4 linked regions of the Sus scrofa genome follow. The protein of the gene in region 2 interacts with the protein of the main gene of each other region in a pairwise test. Links are inferred from orthologs where the notes say so. Each region holds a gene or a part of one and is shown on either strand. Other genes may lie near its edges. The genes, in order: TXNL4A, RHEBL1, PRKAB2 and FHL3.

What was found.
Region 1: the proteins of RHEBL1 (region 2) and TXNL4A interact in a two-hybrid assay, tested with the Homo sapiens proteins (2 studies listed by BioGRID and IntAct). The link is inferred for Sus scrofa from reciprocal best matches to the Homo sapiens genes RHEBL1 and TXNL4A.
Region 3: the proteins of RHEBL1 (region 2) and PRKAB2 interact in binary tests that used the Homo sapiens proteins (3 or more experiments, as listed by UniProt). The link is inferred for Sus scrofa from reciprocal best matches to the Homo sapiens genes RHEBL1 and PRKAB2.
Region 4: the proteins of RHEBL1 (region 2) and FHL3 interact in binary tests that used the Homo sapiens proteins (3 or more experiments, as listed by UniProt). The two-hybrid records come from large-scale screens. The link is inferred for Sus scrofa from reciprocal best matches to the Homo sapiens genes RHEBL1 and FHL3.

Annotation. Positions count from the first base shown.
Region 1 is NC_010448.4:127,985,943-127,993,669, forward strand, and holds the start of TXNL4A (thioredoxin-like protein 4A), read right to left. Parts: upstream 5,171-7,727; 5' UTR 5,074-5,170; intron 4,684-5,073; 5' UTR 4,668-4,683; coding exon 4,515-4,667; intron 1,097-4,514; exon of another isoform or gene 1,027-1,096; intron 1-1,026. UniProt on the Homo sapiens protein: Plays a role in pre-mRNA splicing as component of the U5 snRNP and U4/U6-U5 tri-snRNP complexes that are involved in spliceosome assembly, and as component of the precatalytic spliceosome (spliceosome B complex).
Region 2 is NC_010447.5:15,092,899-15,100,608, forward strand, and holds RHEBL1 (GTPase RhebL1), read right to left. Parts: upstream 4,888-7,710; 5' UTR 4,644-4,887; coding exon 4,592-4,643; intron 3,975-4,591; coding exon 3,903-3,974; intron 3,561-3,902; coding exon 3,493-3,560; intron 3,088-3,492; coding exon 3,005-3,087; intron 2,916-3,004; coding exon 2,859-2,915; intron 2,657-2,858; coding exon 2,609-2,656; intron 2,265-2,608; coding exon 2,183-2,264; intron 2,023-2,182; coding exon 1,933-2,022; 3' UTR 1,500-1,932; downstream 1-1,499.
Region 3 is NC_010446.5:100,380,070-100,387,081, forward strand, and holds part of PRKAB2 (5'-AMP-activated protein kinase subunit beta-2), read left to right. Parts: intron 1-2,982; coding exon 2,983-3,149; intron 3,150-3,974; coding exon 3,975-4,068; intron 4,069-4,306; coding exon 4,307-4,427; intron 4,428-6,143; coding exon 6,144-6,277; intron 6,278-7,012. UniProt on the Homo sapiens protein: Non-catalytic subunit of AMP-activated protein kinase (AMPK), an energy sensor protein kinase that plays a key role in regulating cellular energy metabolism.
Region 4 is NC_010448.4:93,978,447-93,984,674, forward strand, and holds the end of FHL3 (four and a half LIM domains protein 3), read right to left. Parts: intron 4,681-6,228; coding exon 4,507-4,680; intron 4,419-4,506; coding exon 4,244-4,418; intron 3,426-4,243; coding exon 3,256-3,425; intron 3,129-3,255; coding exon 2,942-3,128; intron 2,817-2,941; coding exon 2,662-2,816; 3' UTR 2,191-2,661; downstream 1-2,190. UniProt on the Homo sapiens protein: Recruited by SOX15 to FOXK1 promoters where it acts as a transcriptional coactivator of FOXK1.

The sequences.
Region 1 (7,727 bases), on a different chromosome or scaffold from region 2:
CTGGCATTGCTGTGGTGTAGGACAGCAGCTTAGCTCCAATTCCACCCCTAGCATACACTCCACTCCATATGCTGCAAGTATAGCCCTAAAAAAAAAAAATATATATATATATATATATATATATATACACACACACACATATATGTTTTGATATTATTTTTTTACTTTTTAGGGGCACACCTGTGGCACAGGAAGTTCCCAGGCTAGGAGTCAAATTGGAGCTATTGCTGCTGGCGTATGTCATAGCCAGAGCAACTCACGATCTGAGTCTTGTCTGTGACCTACACCACAGCTCAGGGCAATGCTGGAACCTTAAGCCACTGAGCAAGGCTAGGGATTGAACCCACATCCTCGTGGATACAAGTTGGGTTCATTTCCACTGATCCACAATGGGAACTCTAAATTTACATTTTTAGATAGTTCATTTCAAAGTCATCAAAAAACTGCATGATAACTTCATTTTCTCAAAGTACTATTTGCCCTAATTGGATGTTGGTTCCTATGAGAGTCCTCATTTGAGCATAAATTTCTGCTGGTTCAACCTTCTTTATGTGATGCTCAAGTCATTCCTAAATAGCTCCATGAATACGTCTGCCTTATATACAACTCTATTAGAATGCATGACTATGAGACAATATTACTGAAGTTCTGCATATTCTGAACTCTATTTCTGTGGGCTTTTTAAACATACAAAAATGAAACATCTCACTTATTCTTACATATAATGGGACTTAGGTTAACAGTGAGATGTGACGTGTTTTCGTGCAAAATGCCAAGTACAAAAAATAGTCTCTCTGTGAAGCTGTGCATAAAATCACCCACTAAACAGGAAATTTTATTTTAACTGTTACTCTATCAAACTCAACACATCTATAAAATCTCTAACATATCTGTGTTTTCGGTACAGCTCAAAACTAATCCAGCCTGAGATAGGAGTTGGTGCTGTCGAAGCAGCAAGTCAACAAACCACATTGTAGGAGAAAATGTATAATCAAGTCCAGCCTCTACATTGGAACTTTTACTCACTTTAATACAGCTGGGGTTTCCAAACAGGGCTCGTAACAAGGTGAGGAGGATCCCCCACTATCTGCCATTTCTGCAGAGGGAGATGTTTAAATAGACAGTTAAATTGTTCTTCATACTAAAACCTTAAATTTCAAAAATTCCTGAGTTTCCCCCAATAGGGCTTCCAGAACTATAAATTCATATTTTGCCATTAAGAAGAAAAATAAAACATTAATATTAATAGTCTTATAATGCATTTCAAGTTTACATTTTGAATAACTATAATCTAGTATTGAAGGTTTATTAAAATACAAATCCAAGTTTTGGGCAAAAGAAAAGGAGTAACTTTAAAAGACCAAAGAGGAGTTCCTGTTGTGGTTCAGTGGGTTAAGAACCCAACTAGTATCCATGAGGATGTGGGTTCAATCCTTGGCCTCACTTAGTGGTGCAAGCTGTGGTGGAGGTTGCAGATCTGGCTCGGATCTGGGGTTGCTGTGGCTATGGTGTAGGCCGGAAGCTACAGCTCCAATTTAACCTCTAGCCTGGGAACTTCCATGTGCTCCAGGTGGGGCCCTAGAAAGAAAATAAATAAATAACCAACCAACCAAAGAAAAGTACTTGAAGTGAGCTCAATTAAATGTTCTTATCAACAGGTTCAATACCATAAAGCACATATCTGCTGTACTACAGCCATGTGGTCTTTGAATGATATAAAGGAATTAGAAAAGACCAATTCCGGAGTTCCCATAGTGGCGCAGTGGTTAACGAATCTGACTAGGAACCATGAGGTTTCAGGTTCGATCCCTGGCCTTGCTCAGTGGGTTAAGGATCCGGCGTTGCCGTGAGCTGTGGTGTAGGTCACAGACGTGGCTCGGATCCCGTATTGCTGTGGCTCTGGTGTAGGCCGGCAGCTCCGATTCAACCCCTAGCCTGGGAACCTCCATATGCTGAAGGAGCAGTCCTGGAAAAGGCAAAAAGACAGAAAAAAAAAAAAAAAAGAAAAGAAAGAAAGAAAAGACCAATTCTGGTATAAGTCCCTAAAACTCACACTGATTCAAAACTTGTCTCCTAGCTAATAGTTTCTTCTGAGTTTTGCTCAGATTTGAAGAGTAAACAACCCTTACACCTCTCATCATCCTCACCTGGTGCTCACCTGCCACCTTTAAGGCAGAGTCCATCACACACACCCTAAGTTACTTCAGAGTCAACAAGGCAGCATCACCACTTAGTGGAAGTGTCTTCATTCAACTTCATTGGACTCTGCAGTACCTGCCCTTGACCACTGCCATACACAAACGACCCCCGGCACCTCACTCTTAACTCTGACCCCTGCGTTGTTGCTGTTTATCTTTTTAGGGCCACACCCAAGGCATATGGAAGCTCCCAGGCTAGGGGTCCAATCGGAGCTATAGCTGCCAGCCTACACCACGGTCATAACAACACCAGATCTGAGCTGCCGGCCTACACCACAGTCATAGCAATGCCAGATCTGAGCTGCATCTGCGACCCACACAACTGAAAGCAACACCAGATCTTAATCCATGGAGCAAGGCCAGGGACTGAACCCCCATCCTCATGGATACTAGTTGGGTTCCTTACCACTGAGCCACGATGGGAACTCCTGGGAAGACTGCCGTGTGAGAACCCTGCCCCCCTCCATTTCCTCAGGCACCTTCTCATGCTCCCTCAATGTCTTGAGAAGGAAGAAGGTGGAGCGGCTATGGTCACAGCACTCCTACTGATCCCAACCTCATCAAGGGGATTCTCAAAGTCACATCAGATTTCCCAGGGGAAGGAGTTGTCTTGTGGTGCAGAGAGTTAGGGATCTTTGCAAAGGCTTGGGTTGTTGCTGTGGTGAGGGTTCGATTCCCGGCCAGGGAACTTCTACATGCTGTGAATGCACCCAAAGAGAAAAAAAAAGAATTCCTGGGGAACTTCTTTAAATCCCTGGCCTGGGAACTTCTACAAGCTAGGAGCCTGGCCAAATAAATAAATAAAAGTTAAAAAAAAAAAAAATAAGCTATCTCTGGACTTTACCCCAGACCTGTACAATCAGAATCTCTGAGATGCACTTTGGTAAGTATTTCAAGTTATATACTAACACTCACAGAAGGACAGTCCCTAATGTTCTCAGTGCTACCACCCTTATGTCACTCTGCCTCTCCTACCAAATGGGAGGTAGTGAAAATTACTGATGGCAGGTCAGACAGTTTTTCCTTTCCTAATACAAAAGTATACCCTTATACATAATCATTACTCCTCAGTCATTATTTTAACAGAACCTGTATTAGTACACCCTATTCCATCCAACATTTCCCTTACTTTTACTCTTCATTAAAATGAATGCCCTCTCAATTACTGTAAGTTCAACATTTTATTAGCGCCATAATATATTTGCCTTTTGCCCTATTGCTACAATTGCAAAAATCCAAATCAAAGTTATCTTAAAATCCCCTTGAGAAGGAGTTCCCTGATGACCTAATGGTTAAGAATTCAGCATTGTTAGTGATGTTACTTGGATTTGATCCCTGGCCCAGGGAAACATGCCTCCAACAGGGCCAAAAAAACAATTCCCATGAGATAACTCCAGAAAAAGAATTAAACCCTGGTTATTCAACAGTGCCCTACAATTGCATTTTATTGTTAACAAACAAAAGCTACAAACAACCCTGTGTACTACCGATAAGAATTAGGAAAAACCGGAGTTCCTGTCATGGCTCAGTGGAAACAAATCCTACTAGTATCCATGAGGATGTGGGTTCTATTCCTGGCCTTGCTCAGAGGGTTAAGGTTCTAGTGTTGCCCTGAGCTGTGGTGTAGGTTGCAGATGCGGCTGGGATCCTGTGTTGCTGTGGTTGTGGTGTAGGCCAGCAGCTGTAGCTCTGATTCAACCCCTAGCCTGGGAACTTCCATATGCTGCACATGCACCCTAAAAAAAAATATGGCAGGTGCAGCCCTAAAAAGCAAAAAAAAAAAAAAAAAAAAAAAGAGTCACTTTAAGCTATAAACCAAGTCACTTACAAAGAGCATGATGGGGTAAAGAAAAAAGGAAAACCTACCGAAAGAAAAAGAATGGAATTTACCATGCTGGTAAAATAAATGTTCTGCTTTATAAATAAAACAGATAAACACAGTACAAAAAAAAAAAAAAAAACTAAGCTAAGATAAAGTCTGCAAATGTGTTTTACTTGGCACTACAGATGTGCACTTTAGAAAACACTCTATCAATAGGAATTATTAACTTACCTAGGGAGAGTGATCATGAACGTTTTAGAAGTTTGAAAATCTATGGTAACTCCTCCCACAAAAAGACAAACTATTCTGACCTATTTCAGGGAGCACAACCTCACATCCAGGATAAGACTGTCTGTGAACCTCGCTTCTTGTCTTTGGTGAACGAACGTGTTGCAGGCGAAGAATGAGTACAGCGTGCACTTCAAACAAAAGCAATCCAACACGACGAACCGAGCAAACCCACCGCGGGGCGGGGCGGGGCAGGGCTGCGTTACCTTCTCAGCTATGCTGTACAGAACCTCGTCCATCTTCATGCAAGTAGGATCCCAGTCGTGTCCAAATCGAATTACCACCACGCGGTCTTCTTCCGAGAGGATGGCCTGATCCACCTGCCAGCCATTGTGCAGGTGCGGGAGCATGTACGACATCTCGGGGCCGACGGGTCTGCAGGGGGAACCCACCAACCAGCTCCTCCCAGCTCCACCGCAGCGCACCCGCTGGGCCCCACCCACGAGGACACCTCCCCAACGGGGACCCTACTCCACGAAGGCCTCACCGGAAGGGACCCTCACTCACCCGGACCCTCACTCACCCCATTGGCCTCACCCACAGGGACCCCTAACCCACAGGAGCCCAACCCACAGAGGCCCACCCCACAGGGGCCTCACCCCACGGGGCAGCCAGGACGGCCAGGCCCGCGTCCACCTCCTCCCCGGGCCCCGACCCCAACACTGGGACGCCTCGCCCCGTGGCCCAGAACCCAGAGCGAAGGAACCCCCGGGGTCGCACATCCGCCCCTCCACCCCAGCAACCAACCGAGGGTCCCGCACCAACCTCTGCCTTCCCTGTGATCTCCCGCGCAGCAGTCCCTCCAGGAGCCGGAATGCTCCAACGAGTGCGCGCGCGCAGGCGTGTACGTGCGCGCTCACGGAGTGCGTGCTCGCTGACGTGTACGTGCGCGCCTTTGCCCGGGTCGGATTGGCTCTGGGCTTCCACCTCTTCAGTAGGGAGGACAAAGTTGAATCGCATGTCATGGGGCGCCACCGGGACCTGCAGTGTGGGAGCGGACAGAGGATGATGTGGTATTGTCCACTCCCACACAAAGTCCCTCAAGTTAATCGTTTTGGCGGTCGTGGTATAATACATATAAAAGTTACTGTTTTAGCCACATCTAGTTCAGTGGCTTTGGGTGCATTCACTTCATTCTGCAACCATCATCCCTGCAGATACTTCTTTTGTTAAAAAGCTTTGTTGAGGTGTTACACACTGTAAAGTGGTTTCACCGATTTAGAATAAGATAATTTTCCAGGAGTTCCCGTCGTGGCTCAGTGGTTAACGAATCCGACTAGGAACCATGAGGTTGCGGCTTCGATCCCTGGCCTTGGTCAGTGGGTTAAGGATCTGGCGTTGCCATGAGCTGTGGTGTAGGTTGCAGACGCGGCTCAGATCCCGCGTTGCTGTGGCTCTGGCGTAGGCTGGCGGCTACAGCTCTGATTCGACCCCTAGCCTGGGAACCTCCATATGCGGCGGCAACGGCCCAAGAAATGGGAAAAAGACAAAAAAAAAAAAAAGATGGTTTTCCACAGAGTTGTGGAACCAACACTCCAATCTGATTATAGGAAATTTTCATCACCCCTAATCCTGTACTCTTTAGCAGTCCCATTTCCCTCCCATCCCTTTGGCTTCTGGCAACCACGAGCCAGCCTAGATATTTCAGGTAAGTGGAAACATCAATATATAGTCTTTCATGACTTCTTTCATTTCGCATAGTGTTGTCAAGGTTCACCCATATCGTAGCCGAATCAGTACAGTTGACCCTTGAGCAACAGGGGTTCTAACTCACACGTGTACCACGTGTACTTCAGGATGGCAGTTGGTTAAATCTGCAGATAGAAAACTGAAGGACCAACTGTAAAATTATGCATGGGTTTTTGACTGAGGATAGGGTCATTGTGGAAAGGTCAACTGTACTTAGTTCCTTTTTATTGCTGATTAATGTTCTGTTGTTCGGATACACTGCATTTAACTATCCATCAGTTAATTTTTTTTTTTTTTTCTTTTAGGGCTGTACCTGCAGCATGTGGAAGTTTCCAGGCTAGGTGTCAAATCAGAACTGCAGATGCCAGCCTACCCACAGCCATGGCAACACTGGGTTTGAGCCACATCTCTGACCTATACTGCAGCTTGCTGCAAGGTGGGATCCTTAACCCACTGAGCAAGGCCAGGGATTGAACCTGCATCCTCTCAGACACTATATCAGGTTATTAACCCACTGAGTCACAAGGGAACTCCCTGTCCATCAGTTAATTGACATTAAGGTTGTTTCCACTTTTTGTGCTTTATAAGTAATGCAGCTATAAACATTCATGTGTAAGGTTTTGTATGGATTTAAGTTTTCATTTCTCTTGGGTATATGCAAGTAGAATGGCTGAATCACATGGTAATTATGTTTAATGTCTTGAGGAATTGCCAAACCATTTTCAAAAGTGGCTAGATATGCCATTTTGCATTTCCAACAGCAAGGTGGGGTTGGATTTCTCCATGTCTTGGCCTATTCCTGTTTTTGTGTGCATTTTTTTTTTTTATACAGAGTGATATCCTGGTGGATGTGAAGTGATGTCTTCTTAAGGTTTTGACTTGCATGTTCCTAATGGTTAATGATATAGAGCATCATTTTTAATTGGCCATTTGGAGAAATGTCTATTCATCTCCTTTGGTCACTTAAAAATGGATATTGTCTTTTTATTGTTGCGTTATAAGAGTCCTTTACATATTCTGGATATAAACCCCCCATCATATGTATGATATGAAAATATTTCCTCCTGGGAGTTCCTGTCGTGGCTCAGTGGAAACGAATCTGAATAGTAACCATAAGGACGAAATTCCATCCCTGGCCTTGCTCAGTGGGTTAAGGGTCTGGCATTGCCATGAGCTGTGGTGTAGGTCGCAGACATGACTCAGATCCCACGTGGCTGCGGCTGTGGCATAGGCTGGCGGCTACAGCGCCAATTCAACCCCTAGCCTGGAAACATCCATGTGCCAAAGGTTCGGCCCTCAAAACACCAAAAAAAATTCTTCCCATTTTCTGACTGATTTTTTACTTTATTTATTTATTTATTTTCCAGCCTTGCCAGAGTCATGCGGAAGGTCCCAGGCGAGGGACCTAACGCATGCCACAGCTGTAACCAGGGCAGTGACAACACTGGACCCTTAACCCTCTGAGTTATGAGGGAACTCCATGACTTTTTATTTTTATTTTTATTGGTATCATTTACAGCAAAAACTTTTTTTTAAATTTTATTTATTTATTTATTTTTGGTCTTTTTTTTTTTTGTCTTTTTAGGGCTGCACCCGTGGCATATGGAGGTTCCCAGGCTAGGGGTCTAATCGGAGCTGTAGCCACCAGCCTACACCAGAGCCACAGCCACACCAGATATGAGCTGCATCTGTGACCTACACCACAGCTCACAGCAACGCCGGATCCTTAA
Region 2 (7,710 bases):
ACTGTCCTTTACTACTAATCAGGCCTTGAGATTGTTTGATACACTTCTAGAAAACCTCAGATATGTGTTATTCTATCTCAGACCTTATGGAAATAACAGCAGAAGTGTAGGTACCCATAATGAGAATTCCAGGTCACATGTGCAAAAGGACGTCATTTTAGTGTAAGGAGAGAGGGTGATGACAACCTGACAACCATAAAGAGAATCCTAAACCTCTGAGACATTGCTCTTTGGAATATGCTCCTTCCAGCAGCCCTTATTTCTTTTTAGATTCCGGATGAGAGCTCCAAAAGCAGCTGGCAGGACTTCTGAAAACCAGCGTGACATACCATCACCCCCAACTGTAAGACTAGCTGGCTGGTCTGGAGCCAGGCAATAACAAGGTCACAGCTAAAAACCCCACCTACATTTTGTCCATTTTCCCCAACTAAGTGCATTGACAGAGTACCTCAAGTTCTTCAAGTTGCCAGGAAAGGTATGCCCTTCCTGTGAAGGCTACCATTCAAGTATCCTTATAAATCCCTGGAGAAGGTATTAGGCCAATTAGGCCCAAGGGCTACCAGGGGGGGTAGGGAGTAGAGGCCGGGTAGGACCAAACTTAGCCTTTGACACCTAAAAAAGGTAGCACAACTTCAAATGTTTGAAAGGTATGAAAGGAGCAAAGAGCATCCCTTTTATGGGTCTGAGGCATGTGGAAGTTCCCAGGCCAGGGATCGAACCATACCACGGCAGTGACAACTCCAGATCCCTAACTGCTGCACCACAAAAGCACTCCAAGAATATCCATTTTAATGAAAGGCATTGAAGACGAGGGTGGGGAGTGGGGATTGATATACATCGGGGCATTTTTTTCTTCCTTTCTCTTTTCTTTCTTTTTTTCTGGCCATGCTCCAGGGTGTTTGGAAATTCCAGGGCCAGGATCAAACCTGTAGCACAGCAGTGGCCTGAGCCACAGCAGTGACTGTGCTTGGTTCTGAACCCACTGGGCCATCAGGAAACTCCCAGGGCATTATTTCTTACTTTACTCGACTCTCTTTAGAAAGCTAAAATCTTCACAACACTTTAGTCCCTGCCTTTTCACTACTTCACTGTTCTTACATGATTAGGAACTAGGGTCTTTCTTCCTCCAGCCCAAACCCTATCCTCTCTGAGTTCCAGCAAATGCCAAGACCCCAGGAGGGAAGCTAGGTCAGCATGTGGCAGCTGGCCACTAGAGGGTGGTGTTTCTGTAGTTAAGGGGATGGTGAGCGTCTACAAATTTGGGAGGGAGTGGCAGCCAACAGGTTACCTGTATGGGCGAAAGGAGTAGAAAAGGAAAGTGGGAAAGGTGAGGAGGAGATCCTAGGGTTATGGTCCTGAATGAGTGAGGAAGAGGTAAGGAATGGTAACAAGGCAGGAAGAAAACATTTGCCCTGATTCGCTACCAAAGGCCATAGCCATCAACTCCTTGGAAAAGGAGCTGTTGGCATTGAACTCTCCCCAGATACAGAGAAGTCAACTACAAAAGGATTTCTCAGTTTATTTGCATATATACATTGTCACTCCAGAGAGTCACCTCCACTTCAGGAGTCCCCAGCTCCCCTCACCCAGCCAACATCCAAAACCTACCTAGGCAACTGGGTCCTAAATAAACAATGCCCAGGACTCAAATCCCAATCCCACAGGTTATAACAATTCATTTACTTAGCAAAGACAGAGGGCTAGAGGACACTGCCCGTGAGACATCCTTGCCCCTTTGTAAACATTGACAGCCAGGCCACGGGAGCCTGGGCAAGTGTGCAAACATGAGGGTACCACACTGTGTGCCCAGAGGGCCAGGGACACAGCTGGTAACCAAACCCGTGAGGTCCTGAGGCCCTGCCCCCCAAACCTCTGCTGGAGCCTGGCACATGCCAGGAGCAGAATCAAGGCAGCTACCCCATGCTCAAGGGTTCACATGAGATGGCAACGGTGCTCTTGGCCATATGAATTCTCCACCCGGGCAATCTCCTGGATGACTTTGGTGAAGATGCCTTGAGTCAGCTGCAAGGGATAAGAATTCAGGGCAAAAAAGTTGGTTAGTTCACTGCCAGTACTCTGAGGTGAATACCCTATACTCCCCCACCATCCCCACCACCAAGCGATGCCATAAGAAAAACACTGCTACCCCCCCCACCACCTTCCTAATCTTCAGGCCCAGCACCTGATTATCTCGAGCAGATGACTCCATAAATGTTGCACCCCAGGACTCTGCCAGCTTCTTCCCTTCAACAGCCTGGACCTCCCTGGAAGCAAATTTGGGACATGAAAATGAAGGAGAGCAATGTCCCCCATGATCTTTGCAATATCTCAGTAGAAATCAGATTTCCTCTGATCTATCTCATTCCAAGGTTTGGGAACAGGGTTGGAAGAGGAGAAAATGTAGAAAAACAAAGGAGCCTAGGACTGAGGCTTAAAATATAAAACTATAGCTTTTGCCATAAAAGGGTGATTTTGTTTTAGCCTTCAAGTTAGAAGTGAAAAGAGGTAAAATGACTGGTTCAAGTCAATGGCAGAGCCAGGACAAGGACCTGACTCATTCCTAGTTCAGCTCACTTTCCTTCGCCTGAAGCTACAGAGATTTCCGTACCTGTCTGGAGAGAGATCTGCCTTGTTTCCCACCAGCACCACTGGCAGCCTGTGAGGAAACAGCAGTTACTACGGGATCCCCTCTGTCTCCCATGGACCCCAACCTCCTTCCCATCAGAGCTCGATAATTCCCCATCAGACCAGAGAGAATCTATGTCCTGGCTTCCTCCTTAATTTGGATCCTCAACCTCCCTCTGTCTGCTTTCTCCATTCACGTTTACACTATATCTTTAGCCCCCAGTGTCACATACCGGGTTTTCCCATGGCCTTCATGTAGCTTTTGGTACAGACTCTCAATGACTTGGAAGCTTTAAACACAAGAAGCGAAGCTATAACCTTATTCTGGACCAGCCCTCAGATCCTCCCAAGTACCCCGCTCACAACCTTGGTCACTTACCTATGCAGAGAGGTGACAGAATATACAAGCACATAACCATGGACCCCAATGATGAATGAATAGGGCAGAATGCTGTACTCATCCTGACAAGAAATAGAAACATCAGTACCCAGATCTACAACACTCAGATGGCCAAGGTTGGTGGGCTGCACCCTGGGGACTCTCTGTGGCACACCCTACTCCAGTCACTTCTATTCAGCAAGTATTTACAGAGTTGCCCAAATCAGCGCTGCACGCTACTAGCTGCTAAAATGCTTTTGGGATGAGCCACAGAGGGTGCCAGACTTCATCTCCCAGGACTGAACTGCAACATTTAGATACCCTAGCCCAGGGAGTTGCCTGGTGACCTAGTGGTTAGGACGCAGTGCTTTCACTGCTGCAGCCTGGGTTTAGTCCCTGGTCTGGGAACTGAGATCCCACATTAAGCAGCTTCACACTGTGGCTGAAAAAAATAAATAAATAAAGGATACCCTACCCCAAACTGGTACCTGCCCTGCTGTGTCCACCAGGTGTAGGTGAAACTCATCTTTGCCAAGAGTGACTATCTTGCTGTAAGCTGAAAAGAAAAGAAAACTTAACCGTGAGGTGCCTTGTAGGGCTAGAAACGTGCCCTAATACATTCTTAACCCTGGGGGTGACTTAGATGGGTCAGGGCCAGGGAGCTGTCCAGGAAATTGGAAAGACAACATTAGGCTTCTTATTGTCTACACAAACACCATCCTGGACTCTTGGAAAATGCATACTCTAGCTCCACTCATAGAACAAGATTGCTAGAGAAGAGGTTAGATTTAATGTCTAATTAAATCATCCCCTTGGCACAAGGAAAATCCCAAACGGTGGAATTGGGTGGGGCACCCAAGCTCTCCCTACCCTGTCCCTAGGGGAGAAGTCTACTCACTATTCTCCACAGTAGGATCATAATCTTCTAGGAACTCGCCCTCCACAAATTGATGTGCTAAAGATGTCTTCCCTGTGGAAAGCAGAGGTAGTTGTATCCAAATCACCCATCGACATTCACATCCTCTGTCCTTTAGGGGTGTGACCCTGGACTAAAGGGGACCCCAGATTAGCATCCTGGTCTGTAAATGCCCCCATGCACTGCCTTCCCTTAGCCTACCCTCACCCTCTTTTCGCCCTGGTTCTCTGCACCTTAACCACCGTATGCATGCATACAGGAGCGCCGCAGGAAGCCTTTCCCGCCGCCTTTCCCCACCTCACTCCTGGAAAGATCCGGGATTCCCTAGGTTCCTGTCTGCCCTGCACTGGACACCTAGACTTGCCCCACCCAGAATGCGTCCCCGTCATCGAATCCTAAACCCACCTCCACCTCCCAGAGTAACGCTGAGGACCGCTCGGGCGTTCCAACAGTCAAGCCCACGTTAACTCTTACAAGCTCCCGCTTCCCGCAGCCTTCCACACACTACCAACAGGCCAGCCTTTCTCTCAGCAACCTCTTTCAGTCATCGCTCTACAAGCTGGTTCTAAGGATGCCACCATTCCTTGCCTGGGGCGCGTTCCCGCGGCAGCGCGCCTCCTCTGGCCACAAAGCCACGGTGCATCCATGCTCTCTCCCAGGCGGAGACTCACCTACAGAGCGGTATCCGAGGATGACCACCTTCCTGTAGCGAACTAAAGGCATGGCAGGAGCCGGCCCCCAGGGGCTTGCCGAACTTCGGGCTGAGAGAGCCCCAAGAAAAGAAAGCCGAAGTACAAGCAGGCGCGACAACCGGCACAGGAAAGTCGCTCACCCCGAGCTGCCAAAGGCAAGCTAGAGGGAAACCAAAACAAGCGCCGCGCCCGGAGTTGGCCACGTGATCACAACACAGCAAGACTAAGGCTAGGGAGCCGGGCGACCGGTGAACTACTCTGCCGCGCCGCCCCGGGCTCCGCCCCCCAGGCCGCTCGCTATTGGTCCATTAGAAAAGATAAGGGCGGGGCCGTAGCAGGAGGGAAGGGTGGGCCTCACGTGGAGCGGGAGAACAGCGAGCTGCGCAGGCGCAGTCTAGACCCGGTTCATTCATAAAGAAACAGAAAGGAACCCGGGGTCCTAGAGATGTTTGCGCTTTTGCAACCTGGCAGAAGTGACGGCAAAATATCATGGATGGAAAATACCCATGTGGCCAGGCTGGAATTTCTGGTCAAACGATTCTAGGCTTCCCTTTTGCAAGGTGCCAGGGTCCTTGGGTAGGGGAAGAAAAGGCCAAGTTGCAATACATTACCTCCACTTCCCCAGCCTTCAGCCTCAGATATCATATTGTCAGGTTTCCACAGTCCTCCAGGATCTAACTTCAGAACAGCAATTTTTTTTTTTTTTTTTTTTTGGTCTTTTCAGGGCTGCACCAGAGGCATATGGAAATTCCCAGGCTAGGGGTTGAATCGGAGCTGTGTCCGCTGGCCTACGCCACAGCCACAGCAACGCCGGATCCGAGACACCTCTGCGACCTACACCACACTTCACCGCAATGTTGGATCCTTAAACAAGTAAGCGGGGCCAGGGATCGAACCTGCGTCCTCATGGATACTAGTCAGATTCCTTTCCTCTGAGCCATGACGGGAAGTCCCAGAACTGCAATTCTTATTCCTGGGAAAATTTTTAGAATTTGTGGCCAAGTCCTCTGGGTTTCGCTGTCATAAGCCACGTACTTATTTATTCAGCAAATATTCATTAAGCGTATTCAATATGTTTTAGGCATTACACTTACAGTGATGAATATGACAGATAAGGTCTCATGAAGCTTAAAATCTAATTGGGAAGAAAGAAACATGAACGAGTAAACGCTAGGAAGCTTCCCTTGTGACTCAGTGGAAACAAACCCGGCTAGTAAACACAACGAAGAGGGTTCGATCCCTGGCCTCACTCAATGGGTTAAGGATCCGGTGTTGTTGAGCTGGCTGTAGTTCACACCTGCGGCTAGGATCCCATACTGTATCGCTGCAGCTGTAGCACAAGCCTGCAGCTATAGCTGATTTGACCCCTACCCTGGGAACTTCAATATGCCACAGGTGAGGCCCTAAAAAAGAAAAAAGAAAAAAAGTGCCATAATAAACAGTGTGAGGTCTGTTTAGGGTTAGGGTTAGGGTTAGGGTTAGGGTTAGGGTTAGGGTTAGGGTTAGTGCGTGTGTGCCCAGGAAAGTGCGTGTGTGCAGGCACAGCCAAAAAAAGAAAAAAGAAAAAAAAAAAAACTGTGATAAGAAAAGACCAGTTTAGATCAGTGACACTTCCTCTCAAAGGATGCCCCACTTAAGCTGAGGTCTGAACTGAATGATAGTAAGGAACAAGCTAGCAAAAGATTCAGAGAGAAGAGGAGTTCCCCCTATGGCACAGTAGGTTAAGAATCTGGCTGCACCCAGAGTTCCTGCTGTGGCACAATCAGATTTGCCTTGTCGCCGCAACACCAAGAATCAGGTTCAATACTGGCCTGACACAGTGAGTTAAAGGCTCCTGCTCAGATTCAGTGCCTGGCCTGGGAATTTTGTACGCCTTTGCTTGGGGGAAAAAAAAGGATCAGAAGGATGAGACAGGAGTTCCCATCGTGGTTCAGTGGAAATGAATCTAGTATCCATGAAGACGCAGGTTTGATCCCTGGTCTCAATCAGTGGGTTAAGGATTTGGCATTGCTGTAAGCTGTGGTGTAGGTCACAGACATGGCTTGGATTTGGTGTTGCTGTGGTTGTGGTGCAGGCCAGCAGCTACATCTCCGATTAGACCCCTAGCCTGGGAACCTCCATATGCCAAGGGTGTGACCCTAAAAAGACCAAAAAATTAAAAAAAGAAGGATGAGACAGAGGAATCCATCATTACTATGATGCTCAGATGGAAATAAATTTGTTAAATTCCAGAGGAAGGAGAGCGATAAAGGCTAACTGCATTATTCTTTCATTTATCCACAAATATTTATCAAAAAACCACCACATCCCAGGCACCCTTCCAAGTGTTTAGAATAGAGCGGTGAACAACACAAACAAAGTGTTTGCTCACAAGGAACAAGCATTCTTTTGGGAGAAGACTAACAATCTACAAGTAAGCAATTAATGAGTTACAATTTTATTTTATTTATTTATTTTTTTTTTTGTCTTTTTGCTATTTCTTTGGCCGCTCCCTCGGCATATGGAGGTTCCCAGGCTAGGGGTCTAATCAGAGCTGTGGCCACCAGCCTACGCCAGAGCCACAGCAACGCAGGATCCAAGCCACGTCTGCAATCTACACCACAGCTCACGGCAACGCCGGATCATTAACCCACTGAGCAAGGGCAGGGACCGAACCCGCAACATCATGGTTCCTAGTCGGATTCGTTAACCACTGCGCCATGACGGGAACTCCTGAGTTACAATTTTAAAAAGTAATAACTGCAATGAGAAAAAATAAACAAGACCTTATTGGGATAGAGAGCAACTTGGGGGTGTGATCCTCCTCTTATTTTATGCAATATCCTAGGAAGCATGAGGAGGTAACATTTGTGCCTGAGACTGGAGTAAATGGGTAGCTATTATCACCTTTCTCTTACAGATGTGGAAAGTGAGATTTAGTCATACAGCAGCACACAGAAGTTATTTCTTCTGGAAGGTCCTGATGAGGTGCGTATGTAGGAGTTTGATGGTGTTGGAGGACAGGCTTTCTAAAACTATAGAACCATCTAATGCCTAAAAATGTCCAGATTGGGGAGTTGCCATTGTGGCTCAGTGGTAATGAACCTGTCTAGTATCCA
Region 3 (7,012 bases), on a different chromosome or scaffold from region 2:
GGATCATTCTTTCCCTTACCTCAGTCTTGCTATTCATGAAATAAGAAAATGGATTCAGATAATTCTTAAAGTCTCTTCAGAATCTAAGATTTTATACTCAATGTGCTCTCTTTATTTCTTCCCTAAATGTTTCACTTAAACATTTTTCAATTGTAGTTGTAATTATTTTGCCACTTTTCCTGAAGATTTTGCTGACTATTGAACTTGGAGTAAACAATCTTTCTGCTAGTCAGCTGCACTCATGCCTGCCACAGAAATGTCACGTTATCCGTGGAAGGGCTTTCTTCCAAAGCTAAGCATATTAATAGTTTGTAGCTTTCAAATTCTAAACTGAAAATACTAAATCATACAAGTAAATGATAGAAACAGTGGCAGTGGGGCCATCCTCTTCAGTGGACTAGTTACTGGTTCTCAATTAGAATAGGCTGGAATTTGTTTAAACACTTCATGGAAAATTTGAAACACTGTCCATGTTTCAAAGCAGGGAGAACAGTGTGATGAACTCCTGTATAGTTGTCATCCAGTTTAAACAATGATCAAATCATGAATGAATTTGTACCACCTATATACCCCCATCCACTCTACCCTCACCAATTATTTTGAAGCAAATTCCAGACTATCATATCAAATATTACTTTATTAGTATTTTAGGATACATTTCTAGAGATGAGGTTTCTTTATTTTTAACATAATCACAGTGTTATTGTCTGGAAAGCTTTTTAAGAATAGACTCCCAGACCCTATATTTGAATCAGAATCTGAGGCATTTGTAATTCTTAGGCATATGTAAAAATTTCTCTAATTCTAATGCAGCCTGTCAAGCAAGAACTCATTGCTTTGAGAAAATGGAGATCAAGATTTTTTAGGAGCTCCCGTCATGGTTCAGTGGTTAACGAATCTGACTAGGAACCATGAGGTTGCAGGTTCGATCCCTGGCCTTGCTCAGTGGGTTAGGATCTGGTGTTGCTGTGACCTGTGGTGTAGGTCAAAGATGCGGCTCAGATCCCACGTTGCTGTGGCTGTGGTGTAGGCCGGTGGCTACAGCTCTGATCAGACCCTTAGTCTGGGAACCTCCAAATGCTGCGGGTGGGGCCCTAGAAAAGACAAAAAAAAAAAAAAAAAAAAAAATTCTCTAAGCCATTTCCTTATATAACGTGGAAGTCCCTTCTTTTTCTCTGTTTACTTTGGATTTATGCTGCTACTGGTGTCTCGTAGTGTAGTTTTGAGGAATATGGAGAGACAGTACAGAAGGTAGACTACCTCTGCCATTTTTAATGTAAAGCCCATATGAACAAACTAGTTTTTTTTTTTTTTAACTCATTTTATCTGGTAATATTTTGGTTTAATACCATACAGTCTTATTTACCTATTTACCAAAGTCATTCAAGCCAATCTAAAGTGAGAGTCAGCAAATATTTTCTGTAAAAGGCCAGATAGTAAATATTTTAGCCTCTGCAGACCATACTATCTCTGTCACAAATGCTCAGTTCTGCCATTCTAGCATGAAAGCGGCTATAGAAAATGAGTAAGTATGGAGTTCCTGCTGTGGCAGAGCAGGTTAAGGATCCTGTTTTGTCTCTGCAGTGGCTCAGGTTGCTAAGGTATGAATTTGATTCCTGGCCTGGCGCAGCCACTACTGTGGCGTAGATCACAGCTGTGGCTTGGATTTGATCCTTGGCCCAAGAACTTCTATGTGCCATGGGTGTGACCAAAAAAAAAAAGAGAGAGAGAAATAAAATAAGTGAATGAGTATGACTATTTTCCAATAAAACTTTATTTATAAAAGCATCTGGCTCACTGGTCATAGTTTGCTAATTCCTGTACTAAAGGATGGTAGTTCCTTTAGGCTCCAGAATCTTTTTTTTTTTTTTTAATTTATTATTATTTTATTTTTTGTCTTTTTGCCTTTTCTAGGGTGGCTCCTTTGGCATATGGAGGTTCCCAGGCTAGGGGTTGAATCAGAGCAGTAGCCACAGCAACGCGGGATCCGAGCCGCATCTGCGACCTATATCACAGCTCGCAGCAACGCCGGATCCTTAACCCACTGAGCAAGGCCAGGGATCGAACCCACAACCTCATGGTTCCTAGCCGGATTCGTTAACCACTGAGCCACGACGGGAACTCCATGGCTCCAGAATCTTTATCACTACTCCTAAAACAACTCGTATAAACCTGGCAGGGGTAAGCAAGTAAGATTTCGTAACCCTTTCTCAAAATTTAAGAAGCCATGGAGGTTCCCAGGCTAGGGATCTAATCGGAGCTGTAGCTGCTGGCCTATACTACAGCCACAGCAACTCCAGATCCAAGCCTCCTCTGCGACCTACACTGCAGCTCATGGCAATGCCAGATCCTTAACCCACTGAGCGAGACCAGGGATTGAACCCGCCAACCTCATGGTTCCTAGTTGGATTCATTTCTGCTGCGCCACAACAGGAACTCCTGATTTTTATATTTTTAATGTCCCTTCGTAACCTATTAACTAAAATGGAGATTATGAATTACATATGAATTTTAGTATCTCTAATTTCCATTACAGCTTATAACTGAGAGCGTCTCATATTTGCATATGAAAAATACATGGCTAACTTTATTTTTGTAGAACCATTCTTTATTTTCATATTTCTTCTCATAAGTGATACTTAGAAGCATATCGTAATTGTCTGCCTATGAGTTCATCTGGTAACAAGAAGCAAGGTTTTTTGTTTTTCAAGGGAAATCCTAAGGTTCTGAAAGGATGAGTGATTTATGCAGAGTCAGAAGTTGGGCTGTTATGTGGGCAGCTTTTGAGTATAAGCCATTTGAACCACTTTGGTCCTAGATGAGTTCTTTTTCTATAGTTTGTTCAGAATCTGATTTAGTTGCTAATATCAAGGCTTATTAATACTTAGCAGAAACCTAGCACCCCTCTCCTCCCTAGAGAGGAGAATGACTTTTTCAGAATTCCTGGGTCACAATTTAGGGATGACCTAATCCTTCTTACAGCTCCCTGGGGACAAAGAGTTTGTATCATGGCAGCAGGATTTGGAGGACTCCGTAAAACCCACACAGCAGGCTCGGCCCACTGTTATCCGCTGGTCTGAAGGAGGCAAGGAGGTCTTCATCTCTGGGTCCTTCAACAATTGGAGCACCAAGATTCCACTGATTAAGAGGTGAAGACAAGTGTCTTGGTTGAGTCTGTAGAGTCCAGGAGTAGAGACCTGATTTCCTTTCTCAAGAGAGACCTGACTGGAATACTCCTTTCCATCTGCTACAGACTCTCTAGAATATTTTCTGTGACCAATAACTATATCTATGACATTTTTTTGTTTTTAACCTCATAGCAACGAGTCAGAGATGTTTTACCACTTAGAATGCCATTGCCTCAGAAGGACTTATAACAGCTTTGTGGGTACATTCTTTAGGATTGTGTTAATACTAGTCCTTTCTGTGCTTGTGGGAAGTCTTCTGTAACTAGCTGAGTCCTATTGCTCTGACTTCTGCACTAAAACAAAACACATTGTAAAGGTCTAGATAGTAATGTTATTTGTTGCTGGCAGAGCAATAATGAATTATGTACTGGTTATGGCCCTTTGTATGTAGGTAATTTCCTAGAAAATGCTCACCAAAATACACAAGGGGTAGGGCATTTCTTATCCTGAACCTATTTGCTGTCTTATTTACACTTGTGAGGGATCTATTCAGCTGAAGCAAAATAGTTGTGCTAAGGTGGAACATTCAAGGGGATTAACATCTTTACTGTACTTTTCCAGATATTAGTTAAGAACTAAAGTTACTGGGAGGGGCTAGCAAGTACATGCAAAAGGTGATAGAGAAAAAGGAGAATGGGTTTATAAATTATTTTTTACTCCAGAGGGTGCAATCACTTAGGAATGTGGGAGATCACTGGTATGATAGTGATTACCTCATGATTTTTACATTTATTTTCAGTCTTCTAATAGGAGCTTGGCCAACTAATTTTCTGCTTTCTTCTGTAGCCATAATGACTTTGTTGCCATCCTAGACCTTCCTGAGGGAGAGCATCAGTATAAGTTCTTTGTGGATGGACAGTGGGTTCATGATCCATCAGAGGTAAGGCCTTGATCTCTGAGGGTAACCACTGACTTAACAGTCTGTCCCCTTTTGCTGTTACTCCTTTTGGTGTCAAACAACATTGCTGTCAGGACTGATGGGCTCCTACACGGAGGATTTCTTTCTTGATAAAAGATGGTGCTGCCAAGTAGGATCATTTTTTAAAAGAAAAGAGTTGAACAGAAGAGATAGATTTGAAATGGGGATTCATGTATTTTTTTTCCATTCACTGTTTCAGCCTGTGGTTACCAGTCAGCTTGGCACAATTAACAATTTGATCCATGTCAAGAAATCTGATTTTGAGGTGTTTGATGCTTTAAAGCTAGATTCAATGGAAAGCTCAGAGACATCTTGTCGAGGTAATTTTGTAGTATTTGCTCTTTTTTGATGTGTTCTTCTTATCATGCATGTTTCTTTCCAAGAGTGGTTTTTATTTTTTCATTTTCTCCACAGAAATTTCTGAATTATATGTGTATGTTCCTCCTATAACCATTTAGGTCCCCTTCTCTGAGAGAAAAAAATCTGTCTAGTGTATTTGATTTCAAACTTTTTAACCAGGATCTGTAGTAAGTTTACATTATAACCCCATACACACAAACACACACATAACGTAACCGTAAGTCTTGCAGTATGTTTGCCTTTATTACATGTAAAGCACCCTGTTTTCTATTTTATCCTTCATTTACAAACCATTAATAGGCTATAGTCTACACCTGTGCTGTATTAGGGCTGCACCTGTGGCATATGGAGATTCTTAAACTAGGGGTCGAATTGGAGCTATAGCCACTGGCCTATGCCACAGCCACAACAACGCCAGATCCAAGCCGCATCTGTGACCTACACCATAGCTCACAGCAATGCCAGATTCTTAACCCAGTGAGCAAAGCCAGGGATCAAACCTGTGTTCTCATGGATTCGTCTCCACTGAGCCATGATGGGAACTCCTGTAGTTTTAAAAGCTCTTTCTAGTAATATTTCACGTTTTTCATTGACCTTTAACAGTGTCAACTAGCAGGGGCTAGTTGAGTTTGGTTTGCCTTCTTTAACTGCCTCAGCCTAATCCTGCCAGTTTGATAGCTCATTTGGCAGTTCTATAATTTTATAAGGCCCTATACTTAAGTCAGTCTGTAGAAAAAAAGCCTCACATTTCTGAGAAAAAAGTATCTATACATGTATGTGTAACTGGGTCACCATGCTGTACAGTAGAAAATTGACCAAACATTGTAAACCAGCTATAATGAAAAAAATAAAAAATCATTATATTAAAAAAAAAAACTCATATTTCTATTGTGTGTATGTTAACTGAAGTTTTTAAAGTTTTTGGTTAAAAAAAAAAATTTCCTTGTTAGAGGAAAGACCTATATACTTTTGTTTCTCACAATATTTTTTCCAAGCCCCTCATCTCTACTTACATTGGCTATAGCACCAGAAAAATAATTTGCTATCCATATTCACAGTTATCGATTTTGTAACTTTACAGTAAAGGCTCTGATTGTCTAAAGAAGTGTGTTCCAAGGAAGCACACTTCTTCCTTGTGAACGCAAAGTCTGCCTCTGCTACTAATTAGCTTTGCCATCACAGATGAGACCTTCAATGCTTTTGGTTCTCAGTTGCTTATCAGTAAAATCAGAGGCTTAGACTTTCTGTGATTCTCAGCTGAGACACAATACCTGAACTGGGCATATTAGAATCTCAGGGCACAAGGGTGGCTTGTGCAGGTTCTAAAAGTATAATTAATAATATAATAATTATCTGTTTGGGAGTTTTGTGGTGGTGCAGCAGCTTAAGGATCCAGTATTGTCTCTGCTGTGGTGTGGGATCAATCCCTGGCCCTGGAACTTCTGCATGTCTTGGGCGTGGCCACAAGATAATAATAATAATTATATAAAGCTGTGACCTTTGCTGCAGCTGTGGCAACACCAGTTGCTTTAACCCACTGTGCCACAGTAGGAACTCCAACTTTATGATTCTTGTCTTTTACCATATTTAGTATTAGCTGCCATGTATTGACAGTTTTTTCTTGCATTTTTTGTAGCTTCCCATCTTTCCCTTATATTTGTATAAATATCTTCCAGACCTTTCCAGCTCACCCCCAGGGCCTTATGGTCAAGAAATGTATGTGTTTCGATCAGAGGAGAGATTCAAATCCCCACCCATCCTGCCTCCCCACCTTCTCCAAGTTATTCTTAACAAGGACACTAATATATCTGTGAGTATCCTAAGAGTATTATTGGGGCATCTGGGGGTCACTAGGGCCATTTGAGCCAAAGTTATGTAATTCTAGAAGTTGGGATTATTAAAAAGTTATGTTGAGTATAAATCATATACTTATCAGTAGTATTGCAGGTTCCTTTTTCCAGGGCTAAGTTGTGACTTTTCCAGGTACTTATATCAAAATTTATACTTGTCAAAAAAAAAAAAAAAAAAAAAAAAAGAGTTCCCGTCGTGGCGCAGTGGTTAACGAATCCGACTAGGAACCATGAGGTTGCGGGTTCGGTCCCTGCCCTTGCTCAGTGGATTAACGATCCGGCGTTGCCGTGAGCTGTGGTGTAGGTTGCAGATGCGGCTCGGATCTCGCGTTGCTGTGGCTCTGGCGTAGGCTGGTGGCTACAGCTCCGATTCAACCCCTGGCCTGGGAACCTCCATATGCCGCGGGAGCGGCCCAAGAAATAGCAACAACAACAAAAGACAAAAGACAAAAAGACAAAAAAAAAAAAAAAATTTATACTTGTCTTCTGATCCTAATATATCAGGCCCAGAGCTATGGATTGATAGAACTAGTTTTTAACATTTTTAATTCCAACATAAGATGAGAAGTACTTATCATTTGCAGTTATCCAAAAGAAGTATATTTTGCATATAATTTACATCCCTAGTTAACTCACTTGATTCCCACTAAGATTATTTTTGCCTCTTAATACAAATCTTCTTTGTGTGTTGTGGG
Region 4 (6,228 bases), on a different chromosome or scaffold from region 2:
AAAAATTTCCCTTGAGGGGAGTTCCCCTCCTGGCTCAATGGTTAACCAACAAACTAGTATCTGTGAGGGCCCAGGTTCAATCCCTGGCCTCTCTCGTGTTGTTCAGATCCAGCGTGACTATGGCTGCGGTGCAGCCACAGCTCCGATTCCACTCCTAGCCTGGGAACCTCCATTATACAGCGGCCCTCAAAAAGGAGGGGGACCCCAAAAATTCCTGTTCTGGATTGCAAAGACTGTGTGCGTATCTTTCTGGGAAAGGAAGAGGTGGAGTGGGGGAGTGGGGATAAAGCTTGGGATCTACCGTATTTCCTCCAACGTGAAATGCTATCGAATGTTAACCCCACCATTATTTGACATTCCACTAAGAAAGAAAAAATTGTTAATTAAATCATGTCACACGGTTGATTATATGCTGTGTCTGGGTTTCTGAGATGTTAAATCTGAAAAATGTTTTTCTTGAAATCAATATCACATTGTACCTGTGCATCTCTTTTCTCTTAGGTGGGTGGACCACCTAAGCAACACCATTTACCTGATGCCTTCCTTCCACTAAAACCTTCTCCTTCCCCATTCCTTCAAATAAGTCACCAAGTCCTGTCTTTTCCACTCCTGCTGCCACCTGCCTCAGTTATCGCTCACCTGGACCGCTGCACTGGCCTCCTAAGCAGCCTGATTATCTTGCCGCTCCAATCAATTATTCACGCTGCAGCCTGCAGCGGAGTGATCATCTCACCGCCCTGCTTAAACATTTCCACTGGCTGCTTTACCCGCAGGGTGAGTTCTGTTTAACTTGGCGTCTGGCTTTTCTTGACCTGGCCTCTGCCTGCCATTTTAGTCTCTTGGCACTTCCTCCAAATGAAATTACTTGCCGCTTCCCCAACGGACACCGTATGGTTTTTCACGGCGCCAGGGCTTTGCACTAGCTGTTTTCTATGCTTGGACTACACTTCCTCAGCAAGTATTTACTGAGCATGTAGTGAGTGCTGGGCGCTGAGAGACGAGAGGTGAGAGAGGTGACCAAGGCAGGCGTGAGCCCAGTCCTCCTAGAGGCAGATGGAAGAAAGAGACCAATATATCAACGTGTGATTATTAATTATAAGCAGACATGGCGGGCATTTGTAAAGGCTTGTTGAAAATGTCCATCAACCACAGCTTCGGAAAGTTTAGGATTCGAATTGTGCCCGGAGGAAGTGTGGAACGGATTAGAATCCCGGATCTACCTAGGTGACTGGGGAACTGACAACTGGAGACTCCTCTGTGAAATGGAAAAACGCCCGCCGCGTAGGATTTCTGGGAGGATTTCATTTGAGATACATATAATCACGCGGTCCTGTCGGACAGGAGGGCCCCTCCCCCACAGGGCGCCAAGGGTCCGCCCGCCCGGCGCTGGGGGCCCCCACCCGGGAGGCTGCGGGCGGGACGTGAGCGCCTCAGCCCGCGCCCGCCGCCAATGCGCACGAGTCGGGCTCCGACAGTCTGGACCGCGGAGCCCAGACCACAGGCCGCCGAAGCGCTGGGGCAGGGGTGTTAGACGCCGGGTGAGGGGAGCAGCGCTCCGCCCCATCTCCCCATTTTGGGGGACAACCCCCCTCGCTCCTTCCCGCCCCCGCCCTTGAATCACGGGGGGGCGGGGCCATGACCCATTCATGCCGGGAATCGGATCCAGATGTTCCCGCGGCGCGTGCAGCTGCATCCTTGCCTTTTTTGGCAAAAAACGTGCGGCCGCGAGCGGATCCCGGGCCGCCTCCGCTAATCCTTGGGAAGAGGGGGAAGGGGGTTTTGGGTCTGTACCCAGACTGGGGATCCGCGCCGGGTGTTCTGCGGGATTTGAGAAAGGCTGTTAAGGGAGGGGGCGATTAGTACTATACGGGGAACCCGACGCCCCCCGCCTCCCTTCTGCTCCCGTCGGGAACCTCCCCTAAGCCCCTCCCTTCCCCACCCGGAGGAAAAAGCCCTTTACCAGCAGGAGGGAAGCAGGCTAAGTCTGAGAGGGACAGGAGCGGCAAGGCAGCCGGAATCCCCTTTCTTGGGAGAGACTTCCCACCCCGCCTGGCAGCTCCCCCCGCCGCGCTCCGCCCCCGCGCCGCGCCCGTGCCCTGAACCGAGGTCTGGAAGGGCTTCGGAGTCCCTGCTGTGCAAAGAAACCTTTCTAGTCCCTCCACCCCCAGACAAACACACAGAGGCCTTGGCTTCTTCATACTGCTTTATTGCAGAATCTGAATGGTGGGGTGAGCCAATCCCACCCCTCTGCCCATCTCTGGGCAAAACAGAGCTGAACTGAAACGAGAAAACACTTGACAACACGGGCTGGGCAAAACTGTACCCTAGGACCCCCCCTAAGCACTGAACCTCTCATCTGTTGCCCAGAAAGCCCCATCCCTGTGGAGAGAGGTGGGATGAGGGTGGGGAGGGTCCACTTCTGAGGACTTTTCAGTCACCCATATAGACTGAGTTCTGGGGTCCTGGTTTGGGGGGGATTTAAATGATGGAGGCTCCATTAAGCCTGGAGTACCAGATTGGGGATGTTGGAGTGGGGAGGCTGAATCCTGGAGCCTAGGGGGAACCCCATTTGGGGCGGGGCTGGGACCCAGAGGTGGTCTGGAAGAGGAGCCTTAGTCCTGGAGCCCTGGTATGGGAGGGCCTGGGCCCAGGAGCCCTGGCTCAGGGCCCTGCCTGGCTGCAACCCTGGCACAGCACTTGGTCTCCATCCGGCACGAAGCCTTGACCCACCAGGGAGGTGGAGCAGCGGGCACAGGAGAAGCAGCTGTGGTGCCAGTGGCGGTCTTCAAAGGACACATACTTGCCTCCGCCGAGTCCTGGAGGGAGGCTGGAGTTTAGCTCTGCAATCTGGAGGGTGGGCCTGTCCCTTGGCCTCACCCAATACCAGGTCCTATTCCCTAGCCTCCCACCACCCCCTCCATTCTCTGACCCTGTGTCCCACCTGTGATGGGGCGCTTGCAGCTGCTGCACTTGGGTGCAAAGAGTTCTCCAAAACAGGCCACACAATAAGGATCATCGTCCCGGGAGGTGAACTGCTGCCCTGCCAGGGGCGTCTGGCACCCTGTGCAGACCAGGCATTCTCGATGCCAGGGTTGGTCACGGTACGTCACGCCACCCTGTGTCAGCGTCTGTGGGGGGCAGCATCCGTCAGCAGAGGGGTGGGGAATTCCCACGCCAGGACAACAGAGCCTTGATCACCCCCACCCCTGAGTGCAGTGGAGATCAGCGCCCCCACCCCACTGGCCCAGCCCCCACCTTGCTGCAGCGGGCGCAGCGAGGCGCGAACTTGTTCTCATAGCAGGGCACGCAGTAGTGAGCACCCTTGTCGGGCACAAAGGAACAGGAGCCCAGCGGCTGCTCACAGCCGCTGCACAGGAAGCAGTGCTCATGCCACGTCTGGCCTCCGTACTCCAGCTTCCGGGACCCTGTGGGGAACAGGGGTTCCACTCAGAGGCTGTGTCCTAAGCTCCTGAGTGCCACCCTCTGCTCCCCCCAAGGAGAGTCCCTGCCACTCCCACAGCCTACAGGGTGGTGTCCATGCATTTGCGGCAGGATCCCCACTACCTGTACCACACTTGGTAACCTGGTTCCAACACCGCACATGCTAGGCCCCCACAAACTAGGGGGCCTGAGGGTTTGGCATATTCGAAGTCCCCATATGTACCAGATATGATGATCTCAGCACACGCCAGGCCTCCAGGTCTCAGGTGCGATGACTCAGTTTATGTTAAAGCCTTACACACCAGACCTGATGGTGTGAGCACACACACACACAAAGACACCGAATACCAGGCAAGCAAGACTCTGCCCACACAAAGTTCTAAAGGCCTGGACATGATAGATTCTGTAGGTAATAAGCCTCTGCATATTCGAATCATGCCAATCTCCATGCGTTCTAAATCCTCATATTACATTGGCCATGCGGATCGCCAAACACAGTAAGCCCTGTATCTATCTGTCTCTGTATCTATCTGTCTTTGCCCATGCCAAGCTCCAAGGCACCAAGCAAGACAGTCTCAGCAAACTCGAAGCTCCTATATGTGCCAACATGCAAGTCTTCATACATGCTAAGACCCCGGATGTGTATCAAGCGTGTCAGTTCCCGTGAGTGCCAAGCTCCCGAGAGCCTATGGACACAATAGATTTTCAGGAACGTGCTGCATGTGAAGGGCTTTACCAAGCCTCCAAGTATGTATCGGATGGGCCTGCCAGTCCCATGCACCACGAGCCCCCAGGAACGTACCAGGCATGACGGTCTCTCCGCAGGCGGAGCACTGAGAGGAGAAGGCGCTGCAGTAGCAGTCGTTACAGAGCAGCTCGCTATCCTGGCAGGTGAAGGGCTCGTCGGCGAGGGAGCGCTGGCAGCGGCAGCAGCGGAAACAGCCCTCGTGGAAGTGGCGATCCTCGTAAAACAGCTCCTGTGGGGAGCCCGGCACGGAGACTGGCACCTTTGTCCCCTCCGGCCCACCTCCACCTGCTCCCTGCCCTGCGTGGTCCAGTCCTTACCCTTGAGTCATGCCCGATAAGCTGCTGGCACTCAGCGCACGTGTTGGCAAAGGTGTTGTCATAGCAGGGCACACAGTAGGGGCCGTTGTCCGTCTGAATGTATTTGCGCCCGTACAGGGACTCGCTGCATTTTGCACAGTCAAAGGTCTCGCTCATGGTGGCTGTGATGGAGCCCTAGGAGGGACACAAAGTGGGACCGAGTCATCCAGAGGGGCTGGGGCGAAGCCCATTGCACTAAAAAAGGAGCAAGAGACGAGGCATAGGAAATGAAGGTGGCGATGGGTAATGGGTGTTCTGGGGTCCTGCAAGTTTATTTCTGTATTTAGCATTAGGGGTGAGAGGGGGTCAGTAAAAAAATCAGGAAGCAGAAGTTCTTTTCTTATCTGGGCCCTGGCAGATCTGGGGGGAGGGGGCTTTTCCTGGGTCAGTGACTCATTTCCTGTCCCTGTATTCAGCCTGTTTAGCTTCCACTGTGCCTACTGTCCCCAAGGGGGGCAAGAGTAGGGGGCAGGGAGCCACCCCACCCTATCCCATATGAACAGCACTGGGTCACGCTCTCCTGACTCCCAGGAGGGAACTCTAGGGTTATACCCAGAGCTCTGCAGTGCGGAGCTTAGGGATGAGAATGGGCTGTTTGCACCCGCCTCCTGATCCAGGAAACAGTGGAATGTAAGAAGGATGCTGGGCCAATGAATGGTGGAGGTGGAGGAGGCTGATGGGAGAAGTCGCATTGGGCCACCCCTCCCAGGAGAAGCCAGCAACAAGGGCTTCAGAGGCTCGGCCAAGGTAATGCAGGAAGGAAATCCTGCAAGCTGGACACAGCCAAGCTTCCCCAGCTGGACCCTCTGCCCTCACCCCCCTCCAACTCCTGCTGGGTCTCTGATCACACCAGCCTGGGCAGCCTTGGCCTGCAACATCTGCAGCAGCTGTGGCAACACAGATGGCCAGATGTCAGGTTTTGCCAGCAACAGGGAAGAAAAAAGGGAAATGAGATGCTCGGGGAGGGAGAGGGGAACTGGAGATTATGGGGTGTGCCTCCTGCCATCTTCTGCCCGGGCGTCACTCCTGGCAGCAACTGGCAAAGCCCCAGAATCTTTCCATCCCCTGGGTCATTATTTCCCTCCCCCTGCCTCTGGGAGAGACAGCTTCTCCCCGGCTTCGCAAAGAGTTTGCGGCTGGGGGAGTGAAGCATGAGAGAGTGGGAGCCACTGAAGACATCTCTCCAATCGGGCCCCCTCAGAGGTAGGGAGTCAGGCAAGGGGGGCCCTGAGAGCTGTTGCTGCAGACACCCAGCCCCCCACCAAACCTCAGACACTTTCCATTTTCTCAGGAACAAAGCATGTTTGTGGGATGAGGTCATCCGCACAGCTGCCTCTGCCGCAGGAGCTTGGGGAGTACAGAGTGTTAGGGAAGTGGGGTTCCCAGTCCCTTCTGCCCCAGTTCCTAGCCCTCCATTCCGAGCTCCCCACCCCCACCTCCTCCAATGTGAAAGCCATTCTCTGAGGTCTAGGATCCCGGGGTGTGTGGACAGGAACCACCAGGACCAAAGCGGCGGGGGGGGGGGGGGGGATGTTCTCACAGCTGCCGATGAGCCCAAGCCCGGGGTGATGAACCCAGCCTGTTCAAAGGAACCCACCAACTCACTCCCCCGGATTAGACCCCAGTAACTGGCACTCCCTAGAGCCTGGCCTGGCTCAGGTTGAAGGAAAAGCCCTCCTTTTC